2 linked regions of the Elephas maximus indicus genome follow. The protein of the gene in region 1 purifies or fractionates together with the protein of each later gene. This does not show direct contact. Links are inferred from orthologs where the notes say so. Each region holds a gene or a part of one and is shown on either strand. Other genes may lie near its edges.

Region 1 (7,470 bases):
ACATGAACCATAGACTCCATCAGCCTGAGACCAGAAGAACTGGATGGCGCCCGGCTACCATCAATGACCGCCCTCACAGGAAACACAAGAGAAGGTCCCTGACAGAGCAGGAGAAAAGTGGGGTGCAGACCTCAAATTCTGGTGAAAAGACCAGACTCAATGGTCTGACTGAGACTGGAGGAACCCCAGAAGACATGGCCCCCAGACTCTCTGTTAACCCAGAACTAAAACCATTCCCGAAGCCAAGTCTTCAGGCAGAGAATAGACTGGACTATAAGATATAAAATGATATTCGCGAAGAGAGTGCTTCTTAGTTCAAGAAGACACACGAGACTAAATGGGGGCAACCCCTGTCCAGAGGCGAGATGAGAAGACAGAAAGGGATGGGAGCTGGTTGAGTGGACCTGGGAAATTTGGGGTGGAAAGGAGGAATGTGTGGTCACATTATAAGGAGGGGAAAAGGGGAAGTCTTAGCTTAGGGGGCACTGAGTCCCTGTTAATGGTGGTGGAATTATTTGGAAATGATAGTGGTGAGAGTTGCACAACATGAAGAACAAAACCAGTATCATGGGATTGTACAATTGGCAAATGTATTGTTATATGTATTTTTACCGCAGTAAAACATTTTAAGAAAAACCAACACAAACAAAAACCAAACTGAGGGGCTAATTAGGGCCCAGATCCGGAGAAGCATGAGGGCAGGGTTTGGGATGGGGACAGAGCCCTGACACTGGTGACAGCTACCCATTAGGCTTAGTAAGGAGAAGTTCATGGACAATCTTGGTGATAGCAAGGTCAGGGTGAAGGGAAGCCAGTTGCAGGCTGATGAGTGGAGTGAGGGGTTTCCCACCTCTGCTGTCCCCATACCTGGTCTGAGACCTCCTCCCTCCTGAATTGTGAGACCCCAGCTCTGCTCTGAGGAACAGAGACCTCCCATCCATCACAGCCCCAGAGAGGAGCAGTTGCTCCCTACTTGTGTTATTCTCCCAGAATATGCTGATGGTCAGGTTCTGTGGAGCATCTGGACAGACAGAAATACAGTTATGTGTTGCTTAACGTCCATGTATGTTCTGTGATAAAGAAGTTATATGATTTGGATGCTGTGTGAACACCATATTACATACAGGCAGTCCCTGGGTTTAGTAACATCTGACTTATGTACAACCAGTAGTTATGAACCAACCCCCATAAATCCTATCATATTAAAAATTTGATGTATATTCAATGGTTCATAGTAATAAATGGGTGTTACTTTGCAACTCTCACCAAAACATTATTATTATTATTACTGTATTATTATGTTAAAGATGTTTTAGTGTATTGGGAAGTGTTTCTCTAATGGTTTTTAGGCATAGAAAGGTAAACTACACATATTTCTGAACTATATTATAACCTTAGGGGTCCACGGACATACATTCAGTTGAAAGCTGCCCGAATGGATGTTATGCATTGCTAGACTGTAACTGTTCTCTTTTCAGTGACAGGAAGATGGGTGTTGGCCCTTTTCTCACAGAAGCTTGAGAAATAGGAAGGAGGTGGAGTCTAGTGTCCTCTTCCTCACCAGCCCCTTTTCCAGGACCCAGAACCAAGCATCTCAGTCTCTGCCCCACTTCCCTCAACACACACTGCCCTCAGGGACCCAGGTGTCCCTACCCAGCACTCACGGGACACATTGAGCTGGATGGTACTCTCCGTGGCCACACCTGCTCCAGGGAAGGTCACTCGGCAGGTGAGGTTCGTGCCATGGTGATGTGGCTCTGGGATGAATGTGAGCTCTGAGGAGTTGGAAGTCTTGGAGCCCAGGGACGTGACAGCGACCCCAATCCAGAAGAAGGTGGGAGGCATCCCCCTCTTACAGGCCCATGGCACCTTACAAGTTATACTTGTGGGGTGGCCAGATTCGAGGGTCCCCTGAATGTGGATGTTGGGTGTCTGTGTCAGGGCTGGGGAGAGAGAGAAACCAAGGCCCTGGAATTGGAATCCCTAGGCGTTCCCTAAAGCAGCTTCTGTCTCAGTCAGGCTGACTCATCCCCAGCCAGCCCCAGCATCCTGTTCCCCTCATTCCCTCCCACGATGAGGAGGAGGGGGTCCTACCCCAACCCTGTCCTAGGAACCACCCTCCTCCCCTGTGGCCTCTCCCTGACCCCAATCCTTACCTGTCACGTGCACATAGAGCTGGTAATGATTGAAATTATATAACACGTAAGATCCTCTGACGATCCTAAAGAAGTATGATCCCTTGTCTGCCATCCTGGCATCTCTGATGTCCAGGGAGCAGTTATAATCTCGGGGGTCTCCAACGAGGTGGAATCGGCCCTTGGTCTCCTCTCGCACTTTTCTGCCTGCGTCGTTTGTGGCAACTGGAGCGTCGGAGAAGTAATTGGACTCACTCCGGAACCAGTAGCCTTGAGCTGGGTCAGAGTCAATCCAGCCCTGCCGGGGGTAGAAGAAGGAGCAGGGCACGAGGATGCACAGACCCTCTTGCACTGTCACTGACTCGTTCATTTGCAATCGGAATTCATTATCTTGAGCAAGGGACCCTGTAGGAAACAAGAGTCAGCCACAGGTCCAGCCCCAGCACCACTGCCCCATCCCCTTGGCCACTCACCTGTCCACAGCAGGGGCAACAGCAGCAGCAGCATCTTTGGAGTCAGGAGCACGGGGCCCTGGTGTAGGAGGACTGAAAAGGAGCCCCAACAGGAAGCTCAGGGACGAGGTCAGAAAAGTGACTAACCGCAGAATTAGAACCTCACACCACACGCTGTCAGAGCCCGGAGGGAAACCACTTCTACTTTCTAGATGGAGTCCCAATGGGGTCACACACAGCAGAGGAAGATCCTACCCCCAGCTCCTGGCTCTCTGTCTGTGGACTTCACCTCACACACCACTGTTCACTCCAGGAAAGCAGGCGCTGGCTGACCAGGCTCTGTGGGTTACAGCTTGTAGATGCTCAGGAGGGCCAGTCCTGCCAGGCGTGGGACTCAGGAGGGGCCTGAGGAAGAACCATGTGGCATGCAAGATGGGGAAGTGTCCCTGGAATGAGGGAGGTACCGCCGACTGGCTGGCTGACTGACTGACTGAATGAATGAATCCAACAACCACAACATGAGCATCTTCTACTACTTGCTGGGCAACAGAGTCAAAGAGGAGGCTATGACCGTTCTATTCTGCATACATGGAGTCACAATACTGGTCACATTAATCAAAACAAAACAAACCTGTTGTCATCCAGTCGATTCTGACTCACAGCAACCCATGTGTTACAGAGTACAACTCCTCCATAGAATTTTCTAGGAATGGAGCCCTGGTGGTGAAATGATTTAGCCCCCAGCTGCGAACCGAAAGGTTGGTGGTTTGAATTCATCCATCGACTCCTAGGGAGAAACACCTAGAGACCTGCTCCTTTAAAGATTACAGCCAAGAAATCCTTTGGGGCAGTTCTACTCTGTCCTATAGGGTGGCTATGAGTTGGAATTTACACAACAGAACCGAACAACAATAACAATTTTTACTAGAGCAGATTGCCGGGCCTTTCTTCCATGGCGTCTCTGAGTGAGTTCGAACTACCAACGAATACGTTAATACTCAAGCAAAAACCACTTCGTTACCCAGGCATCTCACTGGTAACATACGAACCCATTGCCATAGAGTCAGTTCTAATACATAGGAACTCCATGTGACAGAGTAGAACTGCCACATAGGGTTTCCAAGGTAGTAACCATTTTACGGAAGATCTCTGGGTCCTTTCTCCCATGGAGCTGCTGGTGGGTTTGAACCACTGACCTTTTGGTTAGCAGCTGAGCGATTATCGACTCTGTCACCAGGTCACAGAGAGGAACTGTAATACTGAATGTCCCTCAGTCTGTGGGACAATCTAGTGCAGAGATGGAGGTGAGCATTCTCTGCAGACTAAGATGTGGATGTCTTGTTGTGTCTCCAGGGCAGGTCCCAAGTGGCCATTCTAAGTCCTGCCCTCAGAGAGAAGCTCTTGGTGGTAGACACTGCGCTGGAACTTCCTCATCAGGAGGTGGGCTTTGCTGGTGGACCAGTGAGGAGGTCAGGGGTGGGGGCTCTGAAGGCAGGTTGCTGGAACTTGAGCCTGACTCCCTAATGTTCACTGTGCTGTTTTAGGCAGAGAGGGGCTTACACTCTGTGGCACAGTGTCCTCAGCCATTTTTTTTTAAATTATATTTTATTGGTGAAAGTTTACATAGCAAATTAGGTTCCCATCTGACAGTTTCTATACAAATTATTCAGTGACAGTAGTTACATTTTTCACAACATGTCGACATTCTCTTTGGGTTCTGGCTCTTCCATTTCCAGTCCTCTAGTTTCCCTGCCGCCTTATCTTCTCATCTTTGCTTTGGAGTAATCGTTGACCTTTTGGTCTCATATAGGTGGTTTTTTAAGGGAGCACTGAATTCATGGGTAATATAGTTTTGTGTACCAACCTGTTATTTTGCTCAAAGGTGACCTCAGGAGATGGCTTCAGTTCAAGATTCAAAGAATATCTCAGGGTGGGTGATAGTCTCAGGGAGTCCCCCAGTCTCAACTGGTGGAGTAAGGGTGGGCTTTTAAGAAATTGAGTTCTGTTTCACTTTTTTCTCCCTATCTAGCAGGGTCCATCTAGTGTGGCCCTTAACGAAGCAGTTGGTCCAGGTAGCCAGGAACCATCTAGTTCTTCTAGTCTCAGGGTATATAAGGCAGTGGCTTGGGTAGGCTGTTGGAAACTCTGGTGGTGTAGTGGTTAAGTGCTACGGCTGCTAACCAAAAAATTGGCAGTTCGAATCTGTCAGGAGCTCCTTGGAAGCTCTATGGGGCAGTTCTACTCTGCCCTATAGGGGTGCTATAATTCGGAATCAACTCGACGGCGGTGGGTTTTTCATGGTTTGTGTAGGCTGTTAGCCCTGTTGACTAGCTTCTTCTCTGAGACTTTGGTTTCCTTCTTTCTCTTTTGCTCTGATGAGTAAAGAACAAGAGTTGTATCTTAGACGGCGGCTCACATTCTTCAGCTGTTAAATGGGGCTAATGATGTCTGTGCTTGTGGGGGTCATCAAAAGTGTTCACCCAAGGAAAAAGCTCAGAGAAGACCTTGTCTGGCCCACAGTGGGCACTTGACAAACCCTAGATGGGGTCACTCTGAGATGGCCGGAGGAAAGGGAAGTGTGGCAACCAGAGGAACTTGCGGTTGTTCTGGAGCTGAGGGAGTCATAGAAACTCCCTGACTTGAGGCCGGCACCCACTGACCTACCCGGGTGAGAGAAAGGGCTGTGTGGAAGCAGCTGGGGTCTGAACTGACCAGAGAACGGAAGCTGAGATATCCCTGGACTAGTTTGATACACAGGTTGGCGTTAGTTAAAGTGGGATGTAATGCAACAACTCCTGACTCGAGGAATCAAGGACAGAGTAGAACTGCCCCACAGGGTTTCCAAGGATCTCCTGGTGGATTCGAACTGCTGATATTTGGTTAGCAGCCGTAGCTTTTAACCACTGTGCCACCGGGGTTTCCAGAGTTTGAGGCAGAAGAAGTGAAATTAGAAATTAACAGGCTAGTTGTGCAATGGTTAAGTGCTCACCTGCTAACTGAAAGGACTGCCGTTCAAATGCAGCAGTGGCTACATGGGAGAAAAGACCTGGCAATCTGCTCCTCTAAAGATTACAACCTAGGAGTCCTTATGGGGCAGTTCTACTCTGTTCTGTGAGGTCACTATAGTCAGAATCGACCTGCCAGCACCCAACAACAACAACAACATGTAAAGGAATGGAATGAATATGAAAATTTGGATGTTTAAAATTCATGATAATATGTGTGATTATCTGAATGTACATCATGAAACTGTTACTTAGAGTGCACACCGATTTTTCAACCTTTTGGAGCCCTGGTGGCACAACAGTTAAATGCTCAGCTGATAAGTGCAAAGGTCTGGTTCAATCCCACCTGCAGCTCCATGGAAGAAATACCTGGATATCAGCTCCTGTGAAGATTATAGACTTGGAAACCCTATGGCACAGTTCTACTCTGCTTATAGGGTCTCTATGAGTCAGAATTGACTTGATGGCACACAACAACAACAACTCCTGTGACAACTATAGGAGCTGTAGTAGTACAATAGTTAAGCTCTCAAACCAAGAAAACGAAAAAACACAAACCTGATTCCAACTCATACACCAATCAAAAGATTGGTGGCTTGAACACTCCCAATGGAACAGTTGAAGAAGGCCTGGCCACGCGCTCTCATCAAGATTACAGCCAAGAGATCCCTATAGAGCCGGGGTACTCTGTAACACAAGGGGTCGACTCAATGACACCTAATAACAACAACAGGTTAGTTGTTGTTATTAGGTGCCATTGAGTCAGTTTCAACTCATAGTGACCGTACGTGCAACAGAACGAAACGCTACCTGTTCTGCACCCCACCTTCACAATTCTTGCTGTGAGTGAGCCCAGTGTTGCAGCCATTGTGTCGCTCCATCTCATTGATGGTCTTGCTCTTTTTCACTGATCCTCTACTTTACCAAGTATGCTGTTTTTCTCCTGGGACTGATCCCTTCTGTTAACATGCCAAAGTATGTGAGACATAGTCTTAACAACCCTTGCTTCTAAGGAGCATTCTGGCTGAACTTCTTCCAAGGCATTTTTGTTCATCCTTTCGGCAGTCCATAGTATATTCAGTATTCTTCACCAGCATCACAATTTAAAGGCATCAATTCTTCGGTCTTCCTTATTCATTTTCCAGCTTTCACTTGCATGAGGTGATTGAAAATACCGTGGCTTGGGTCAGGCGAACTTAGTCTTCGAGGTGTTATCTTTGCTTTTTAACACTTTGAAGAGGTCTTTTGAAGCAGATTTGCCCAACACAATTCACCTTTTTATTCCTTTTTTTAAATTTTCTCTCTTCTATTTTATTGTACTTTAGATGAAGGTTTACAGAACAAACTAATTTCTCATTAAACAGTTACTACACGTATTGTTTTATGGCATTGGTTAACAACCCCATGACATGTCAACACTGTTACTTCTCAATATTGGGTTCCCTATTACCAGCTTTCCTGTCCCCTCCTGCCTTCTAGTCCTTGCCCCTGGGCTGTTGCACCCCTTTAGTCTTTTTTTTTTTTATGGGCCCGTCTAATCTTTGGCTGAAGGGTGAACCTTAGGAGTGACTTCATCACTGAGCCAAAAGGGTGTCTGGGGGCCGTACTCTCAGGGTTTCTCCAGTCTCTGTCAGGCCACCAAGTCTGGACTTCTTTTGTGAGTTAGAATTCTGTTCTAATCTTTCTCCAGCTCTGTCTGTGACCCTCTGTTGCAATCCCTGTCAGAGCAGCCAGTGGTGGTAGCCAGGAACCATCTTGTTGTATTGGACTCAGTCTGGTGGAGGCTGTGGTAGATGTGATCCATTAGTCCTTTGGACCAATCTTTCCCTTGTATCTTTAGTTTTCTTCACTCTCCCTTGCTCCCAAAGGGGTGAGACT
Region 2 (7,796 bases), on another chromosome or scaffold:
CCACTACGTGCATCTTATTGTCCGTGTCTATCCACACACACACACCTGATCTGGCGCGAATACCCACACACGGACACACAGTCCTCACTACACACGAAGTTCCAGGTCCATGTTCAGAACCAAACACCCGCTGCACCCTGGCCATAAACCACTCTCCTTCTGGGGCTTAAACCCACTTGGTGGGAAGGAAACCCACCAAGGTTGAGGCACCCCAAAACTCCTGACCCATCCAAGAGGCAGGAATTTCTCTGAAGGGTCCCAAGCCAAAAGACAGACTCAAACAAGATGTATGGTCCCTGCTGCCCCTTGGCAGGAAAATAAAAAATAATAACGACCTTGGCATAGTGTTCTAGAATTGCAGAGCACACACACATTCTCCTTTGGGCCTCAGACAGCCCTGTGATGTAGGAATTATTTTCCCCACTTTTTAAAACGAGGGTACAGGCTCAGGGAGACTGAGAGTTAGAAAAGCAAAAAAAAAAAAAAAAAAATTTAAGTGCGTGGTAATTCAGAAGAGAAAATTACCCCTTTGGGAAGTAGGGAGATAAAGATAGAGATCAGGAAGACAGGCAGTCTGGAAGAGCAAACAAGGTGAAATAGCCTCTAGAAAGTTAGTTAACTTCTCCGAGCCTCTGTATCCCCACCTCGAAGATGGGCTTAACAGCATTTCCCAAATACTTAAAGAGCTGATATGTAGTAGGGTTTTAGTGCCAACAGATTTTACATTATATCATTAATCCTCATGCCAACCCTATTTTGTTGTTGTTGTTGTTGCCAGCTGCTGCCAAGTTGGTCCCCAACTCATGGCAACCCCACGCACAGCCATTCAGACCATCGTGATCCGCAGGGTTCTCACTGGCTGATTTTCCGAAGTAGGTCACCAGGCCTTTCTTCCTAGAACATCTTCGTCTGGAAGCTCCGTGGAAACCTGCTGAGCATCCCAGCAACACGCAAGCCTCCACTGACAGATGGGCGCTGGCTGTGCATGAGACGCGTGGGCCTGGAATCGAATCTGGGTCTCCCTCATGGAAGGATAGAATTCTACCACTGAACCACCGCTGGCCTCCCAACTCTACTTAGCATTATTAGTCTATTTTTAGAAACAAAAACTGAGAGGAAGGTTAAGGAACTTGCCCAAGGTCACAAGCTACTGAGTAGGAAGGCAGACAAACCAGAGCCTTGCCCCTTCTACCACACCAACCATGCTGCTGCAGAAGGCTTCAGCGGGCAGGTGGGGTGGGCACCGAACAGCCATTATGGAGGAGAGGTGAGCAGGCACTGCACCAGGGGCAGCATCTGCGAAGCCACAGAGGTGGCCTGCATAGGACCCACTTGAGGAGCAGGGCTGGGGTGTGAGTGGAGCAGGGCGGCCAGAGCAAAGCTGTTCTGAGAGTCTGGACCCAGTTACGGAGGGTTTTACAAGGCCAGGCTGAGGAACCAAGGAAGGATTCTGCACAGGTGGAGGCCTTGCCAAGCCACTTTAGGGAAATGACGTGGCGGGGTATGGAAGGGATCAAGGGCCAGAAGACTCAGTAAGAACCCAGTCAGTGGAGCTGACTGTGACAAGGGCGTGCACTGGGGGAGGCAGCATAGAGAAAGGAAGGGGCAGATGTGTGAGTGTGGGAAGCAACAATCAGCAGGACTTGAGGGCCAACCAACCCACAAACTCACCAACACTCTCTAAACAGGTTTTCACTTAAAATAACCATGCTTCAACAAGGCCTAACCTGCCCTGGCCCTGCCTCCCTTCCCACTAGCTGACTCTGCTTCAGGCATACTGCCCTTTTTTTGCTTGTTTTTTCCCTCTTCAGGCCCTTTGTGCTTGCCATGCCCTCTGTCAGGAATATTAGACCCTTGATCACCACATGGCTGGATCTTCCTTACCATCCAGGCCTCAGCTCAAATGCCACCTCCTTAGAAAAGCCCTCCCTGATTATTCCAGCTAGTAATGCCCCTGGCCCCCCTGGCACTTACTCTCATATGAAGCTGTTTCATTTTCTGCATAACATTTATGAATATCTGAAATGATTCTATTTATTGGGTTGGTTGGTCTGCAACTTCACACTAAAATGTAAGCTCCATGAGAGCAGGGACTGTTTTTGCCTTATTTACTGCAGTATTCCCAGCACCTTAAACAGTACCTAGCACATAATCTCACTCATAGCCACCCTATAGGGCTTCCAAGGAGCAGCTGGTGGATTTGAACTGCCAAACTTTTGGTTAGCAGCCTGAGCTCATAACAGATGCTCAATATTTATTTGTTGAATGAATGATGAGGGGGCAGTTAAGGGAACCAAACCTAGAGACTAGGAAGCGCAGGGGGGGAGCTGAGTGGACGGGGGAGAGCTTTCTCAGGTTTGCCTTTCAGAAATGTCATGCTTGAGGTGATGTGGGTTACCTAGGGGCGGTAGATCCTAAGCAGGAGGCAGAAGCAGGGGACCAGAGGCTAGAGGTGGAAATGTGAGACAGTGAGAATAGACCATACCTCTGTCAGGCATAAAGTATAATAAAAAAGGCAGGGGGCAGAGGAGCATGAATGAGCATGCGGGTCCGTGCACCTTGGGGAGATGAAGGGTATGTAGGAACAGGAAGCTGACCCAGTCAGGCTCATGGTCACATAGCCTGTCAGGAATGAGCATGAAACCCTCCCTCCCAAACTAACAGGAGCCTGTGGGACCCAGGTGGGGCAGGGGACTTACCCACGGGACAGCATCTCCCAGGAAAGTTTGGGGGAGTAACAGGCAGAGAGCCGCAGGGGGTGGGGCCAAGCCAGGGCCACAGCAGAGCACAGTGACCCAGGCCAGGTGAGGAAGAATACTCAGAACTCAGCTACCTCCTCCTCAAACCAGGTTGCCAGGCCAATGGCACCGCAGGGACAAGCCCCTGGACTTAAAGATCCTGGAGCAGGGACAGGTGGGGCGGGGTTAGCCTCAGGCAGCCCACAGCAGCCCACTTCCCACTTCCCCCTCTAGTCCCGCTCAGTGGTCCAGTCCCAGTCGTCCAGCAGGCCTGTCAGCCTGTCCAGGGCCTCCTTCCCTTTGAGGGGAGGAGCCACCCAGAGCTCCACCTGGCAGAGCAGTGGGAGGGCAGATGGGGCAAAGACCAGGAAGTAGCCCTGGCTAAGGGAAAACCGACCAATGTGGGTACCAAGGGGCCTAAGTAAAAGCCCTGGAAGCCCAATGCCTTAGAGGAGGCACCACCATGCAGGCCCTTCCACCCACCTACCCACCCACCCAGTGTGTCGAAGGGCCAGCCCACCCTCTTACCCTTCCTTGGGTGGGGAGAAGTGAGGAGCCTGGTGCAGGGCTGGGCCCAGCAGGGAGCATAGGAAAGATCTGGAAAGGGAGAGGTGGGGCAGCCTGGACTGGTGAGGGAATCTGGAGACAGGAGGTGGGGGGCTGTTAAGGTATCAAAAGACTGACACTAAGGCCAAGTCACAGGCACATTTATTATCCTCTGGGAAGCTAAGGTCTTCCACTCCCTTATCAGCACAGGGCACAGGGGAGGGCCAAGCCCCTCAGGAGGCAGCCACGCTGCCACCGGGAGCAGGCCCATGGGGTGGCAGCGTCATCGGCGGCAGGAACAGAGCCTTCAGCTTGCCTGAGAGGCTGGCAATCTCAGGATCCTGGGCTTCGTAGGACTTCACCAAGCGGGCAAACTTAAGGACACCTACAAGGGGGAGTGGAGAGTCAACCCCACACCCTGGTGACTGGCATACCCAAGATGGTGGGAGGAGTATGCGGATGGGATATGAGTCACTGGCTGCTCCCCAACTGGCCAGGTAGCTGTCTGCGAAACAGGACACAGGCTGGCCTCTCTCCGGTGTGGCCTGGATCAACCACTTCCTGGTCCACGCTGAGCACAGCTGGATAGGAATACAGTGACTGAAAAATATCCGAAGCAGTGTGCATCTCACTCTCAGGTGAGCCATTTTAGCAGTTTAGTCACAAGAATCCAAAGTATAAATACCCAAGAGGTCCAAGGTCCAAGGTCCAAGGTCTACAACGGGGCACAGGAGGGCTGCGACGCAGCGTGACTTCACCAAGGAAATTTCACCACCAACCCCCAAACAGAGATTACCGTTTCAACACCTTGGAGGCGCTGCAGAGCTAGCTCTCGTGATGCAGCCTTCTCACTAAAACGCTAGCAGAACTGGGTTCAAATCTAGCTCTGCTGTGACCCTGGCCACTTTACTATTGGACTCTGTCTCTCATCTTAAAATAGGATATTAGAGTGATTAAGAAGGATATTAGAGTGATTAACGGTAACTACAAAATGCTCCTGTAGGAATTCGCCTGGCACAAGTTCAGGGTAGACCCTGCGCCCTGAGTGCCAATGCTGTTAGTCAGATTGTGGCTGCCGCCGTGTGGCAACAAGGGGAACCACAGTTCAGGGGCCCAGCCGATCCAGCGCCCTCTCCCCGACCCACCTTGACGCCGCCCGTCCAACCCACCTTCCCCGTCGCAGCTGAAGCCATAGGCTTTGATGACCTCCTGCTGGATCTGCGTAGCCACGGGCAGAACAAATTGCAGCATCTTGCCCATGTCGTTGCACGCGTTGTCCCGAGCTTCGTCCATGCGCACGGCATTCTCCGGGGCCGAGAACGCCTGGATGACCTCGGCCAACACCACTGCGCCCCAGAGGCACCCCAGGAAGGTGTACCGTGGTAGGCGTCGGAGCACCACCAGCGAGCCCGGTCGAGAGCCCAGGGAAAGGGACAGAGAATTAGGGGACTAAGCCGTTGGTAACCCGATAAATCCGGTCCCGGAATCCTTCGCTCCAGGGCGCAAGGACCCCAGTTAACAGAAGGACAGTAATGGTACGCGGGGACCCCCCACACCGGTCGACTGCAGCCATTGCCCTCCCTATCCTCGGCCGTATCCTCCCCCGGCAGACAGCCCACCCCGGGGATTAGGGATGCTTCTCACCCTTGGCCTGTTCGGCGCTCAGGGCCGCGGGTTGGGCCGAGGCAGACGCCATATAGAACTAAAAAACCGCACGTGCTGCGAAGCCGCGGGAATGCTCCCCAAGAAAAAGCCACCTCCTACAGCTGCTCGTAAGGCCGGTGGGGGGCGGATGGGAAGCAGCATCAGCCGCAGCCGGAAGCCGCTACCGCGTAGTTTTAATGGCCCAGTTCGCGAATCTTCCAGGAAAACTAAATAACCAGAACGGGTTTTATATCTTAACGCAACAGGACTAACAAAAACCACACACACACCCGAATAAACCTAAGTCTATTGTTGAAAATAACACATAAGGAGGGTCTTCCAGAAAAACTAGAAGACCTACTAGACAAATTCTAAAAGAGCTGTAACACTGAAGAAATATGTCTTGGAGAGAACGTGGGATATCCTTGGACTCCACTATAGCTGAGGGTGAGCTGACTGCGGAGTTTTTTGAATAGTCAGTAATGTCTAAGCAGCGGAGCCCACTAGCTTTCAATAGAAAAAACAATATTCTAAGGAACTAACTTCAATTATTCATTTCTAGAGTTTGTGAACATTTGTTACGAGCCTATGCAAATGAGCGCGGTGTTGATTGGCTGAAACAGCAGCCAGCCACACACCCCCCCCTTAGTTTTTAAGAACGAAGCCTGTGATTCGCAGCAATAAACGCTGGGAGCAAGCGCATCTCTTGTGCTTTCCTAAAATGGCCTTGTTCAGGGGTGGGCGCTGCAGCGTAACGCCCTTATTTCCCCTCCAGCCCTTTGAAAGTGTCACCCACTCCTTCAAAACCGAAGGGTAATTAGAGTTCTAATCACATTGACCTACTTGAAACTACGCCCACATCCACTTCATAACTGTCTCAAACTATTCCACAGAAAGGATCCAGCTCTGAAACCCTTGTTCCAGAGGACTCTGGTGGCCCCTAGTTGTGGAACAGTGGCAGGAACACCCCCAAGGGTTAAGGGTAGTTCCTTAGACAGGACCATGTCACAGGCGGGCCTGTTGCAGGCCTGTTAACAGCTCAACTTCCCCAGCCTTGGAAGGCGTGCAGTGGCAGCACCCCAGGTGGGGCATGGCGCTCCTGCCCAGTATAACCATCCTTCTTCCAAGATCCCCTCTCCAGCTCTGCAGGCTCCCTACACCCAGTTCCTTCCCCAGGTCCTGTCCCTCCCATTTCTCCAATCTCAGGTTCCACAGCTTTTTCTCTGGGCATTGCTGCGCAGAGACCCCCACCCCACCCCACAGCCCGCAAAGAAAGAGTCGTAGCCATCTTCCGGGGGAGACGTGAGGATGTTTGTTTGGTTTTGGTTGGGATGTTTTTTAAAGAGCATCATATAGATATTTATATATATAAATTATTAATGTGGAAGAGGGGGATGGGCATACATCGCAGGGGGTGCGCACACAGGGATTTGGGGGAGGTGGCAGGGGCGGCACACGATGCTACGCAAAACAGCCACATCTAACAGATGAAATAATCACACCAACGGGGTGGGGGAGGGGGCGATGGCCACCAAGGTCTGGGCTTGAGGAAGGAGGAAAGCTGGGGTACAAGGAAGAGGGACCTGGTCCAAGATACTGTGCGCTTCTGCTCCACCCTCCCCACCTCCCCACCTTCCCACACCAGCCTTGGCCTTCTGTCTGTCCCTTCCTCTTCCCAACTGCCCAGCTGCCAAGGCCCTGCAACTGAGCAGTTTTCTCTCCTGGGTTCTTTGTGGCAGGCTGAGGGGGGGGGGGGCTCCAAGGTCCAGATGCAGGGGCCATGGCTGCTCTCTTGGTTGCAGGTTCTACAGCGGCTTGTCGCTTTCCTTCTTCAGGTGACTAGGAGGAGAGGGCATGTCCAGAGCCAAGATGAGCCTGAGGTCAGTCCTGACCTGGCCCCTCTCACAGATGCGGGTGGGGCGTTCTTTTTCCAGGAGCCTAGAGCCCTACTATCCCATGCCCAAGCCCCATCCCAGGCTGGCAGAATCCACTTCCCCACTCCTGGCCCAGGGTACCCCATACCTGTAGTAGTCCTCCTGAGCGGGCAGTGGCACGCTGTGCAGGGGGTGATGGGCGTGCAGCCACTGCTGCTGCTCCAGTGCCAGGCGCTGCAGCTCAGCAGACTGTGCGTGCATGGCCTGCAGCTGGTGAGCTGCTGACATGGGGGCAGAGAGGGAGGCCGGCAGGTCCCGGTAGGGGGCAGCTGTGGGCAAGAAGCACATGACTGATAGGTACTGAGCACCCACTATGGGCCAGGGGACAGCCAGTCACTTTACATACAGAGGAAACCGAGACTAAGAATTTAGGTAACACACCTAGTCTTGCAAGTTGTCAGTGGTAGGAGCCAGGATGCAAACCTCTGTAGCCCAGCATGAAAACATATGCCTGCTGAGACAGGGCCTCAGCTCTCCTACTCCCATTCCCAGCTTCTCTGGGCACTTCCTCATCCCTCCCAAAGCCCAGCTAGGTCGATCCTACTACTCAAATTCCTTCTTTCTGCCCTTCCCTCGTTAAAAGCCTCCCTGCTCCCAACCTCTATCCTTACCAAAGAGCTGGTGACGAAGAACTTCATTCTCGTGCAGAGGATGAGGAAGAAGGGGGTTGGGGAGGGTCCCAGCTGGGTAGGGGATCCGGGTAAGGTGAGACCCTGAAGCCAGGGGATCAATGAGAGGATGCACCGAGGCAGAGGCTAGAGGGCAAAGAAGAAGGTGTCATCAGAAGGCAGGCTTGGGAAGACTATACATTTAGATGAAGGGAAACCTGGGAAGAGAAATGGGCAGTGAAACAGGGAGATCCAGAACGGAATAGAAGGCAGAATGAAAGAACTAGGGGGGTCGGAAGGTGGACAGGACTAGACCCCACTGAAGT

What was found. Proteins that work in one complex are often made in the same cells at the same time.
Region 2: the proteins of myeloid cell surface antigen CD33-like (region 1) and PTPN6 purify together in Homo sapiens (co-immunoprecipitation; 4 studies listed by BioGRID and IntAct, with this or other methods). This does not show direct contact. The link is inferred for Elephas maximus indicus from reciprocal best matches to the Homo sapiens genes CD33 and PTPN6.

The regions. Positions count from the first base shown.
Region 1 is NC_064829.1:97,040,403-97,047,872, forward strand, and holds the start of myeloid cell surface antigen CD33-like, read right to left. Parts: upstream 3,005-7,470; 5' UTR 2,749-3,004; intron 2,681-2,748; coding exon of another isoform or gene 2,609-2,680; intron 2,541-2,608; coding exon of another isoform or gene 2,157-2,540; intron 1,944-2,156; coding exon of another isoform or gene 1,665-1,943; intron 1,022-1,664; coding exon of another isoform or gene 868-1,021; intron 1-867. Other genes in the region: sialic acid-binding Ig-like lectin 13, read right to left, coding at 868-1,021, 1,665-1,943, 2,157-2,540, 2,609-2,680. UniProt on the Homo sapiens protein: Sialic-acid-binding immunoglobulin-like lectin (Siglec) that plays a role in mediating cell-cell interactions and in maintaining immune cells in a resting state.
Region 2 is NC_064822.1:63,739,999-63,747,794, reverse strand, and holds the start of PTPN6 (tyrosine-protein phosphatase non-receptor type 6), read right to left. Parts: upstream 3,015-7,796; 5' UTR 2,714-3,014; coding exon 2,700-2,713; intron 1-2,699. Other genes in the region: C4H12orf57 (protein C10), read right to left, coding at 3,518-3,669, 4,454-4,630, 4,929-4,980; ATN1 (atrophin-1), read right to left, coding at 6,734-6,767, 6,951-7,131, 7,474-7,617. UniProt on the Homo sapiens protein: Tyrosine phosphatase enzyme that plays important roles in controlling immune signaling pathways and fundamental physiological processes such as hematopoiesis.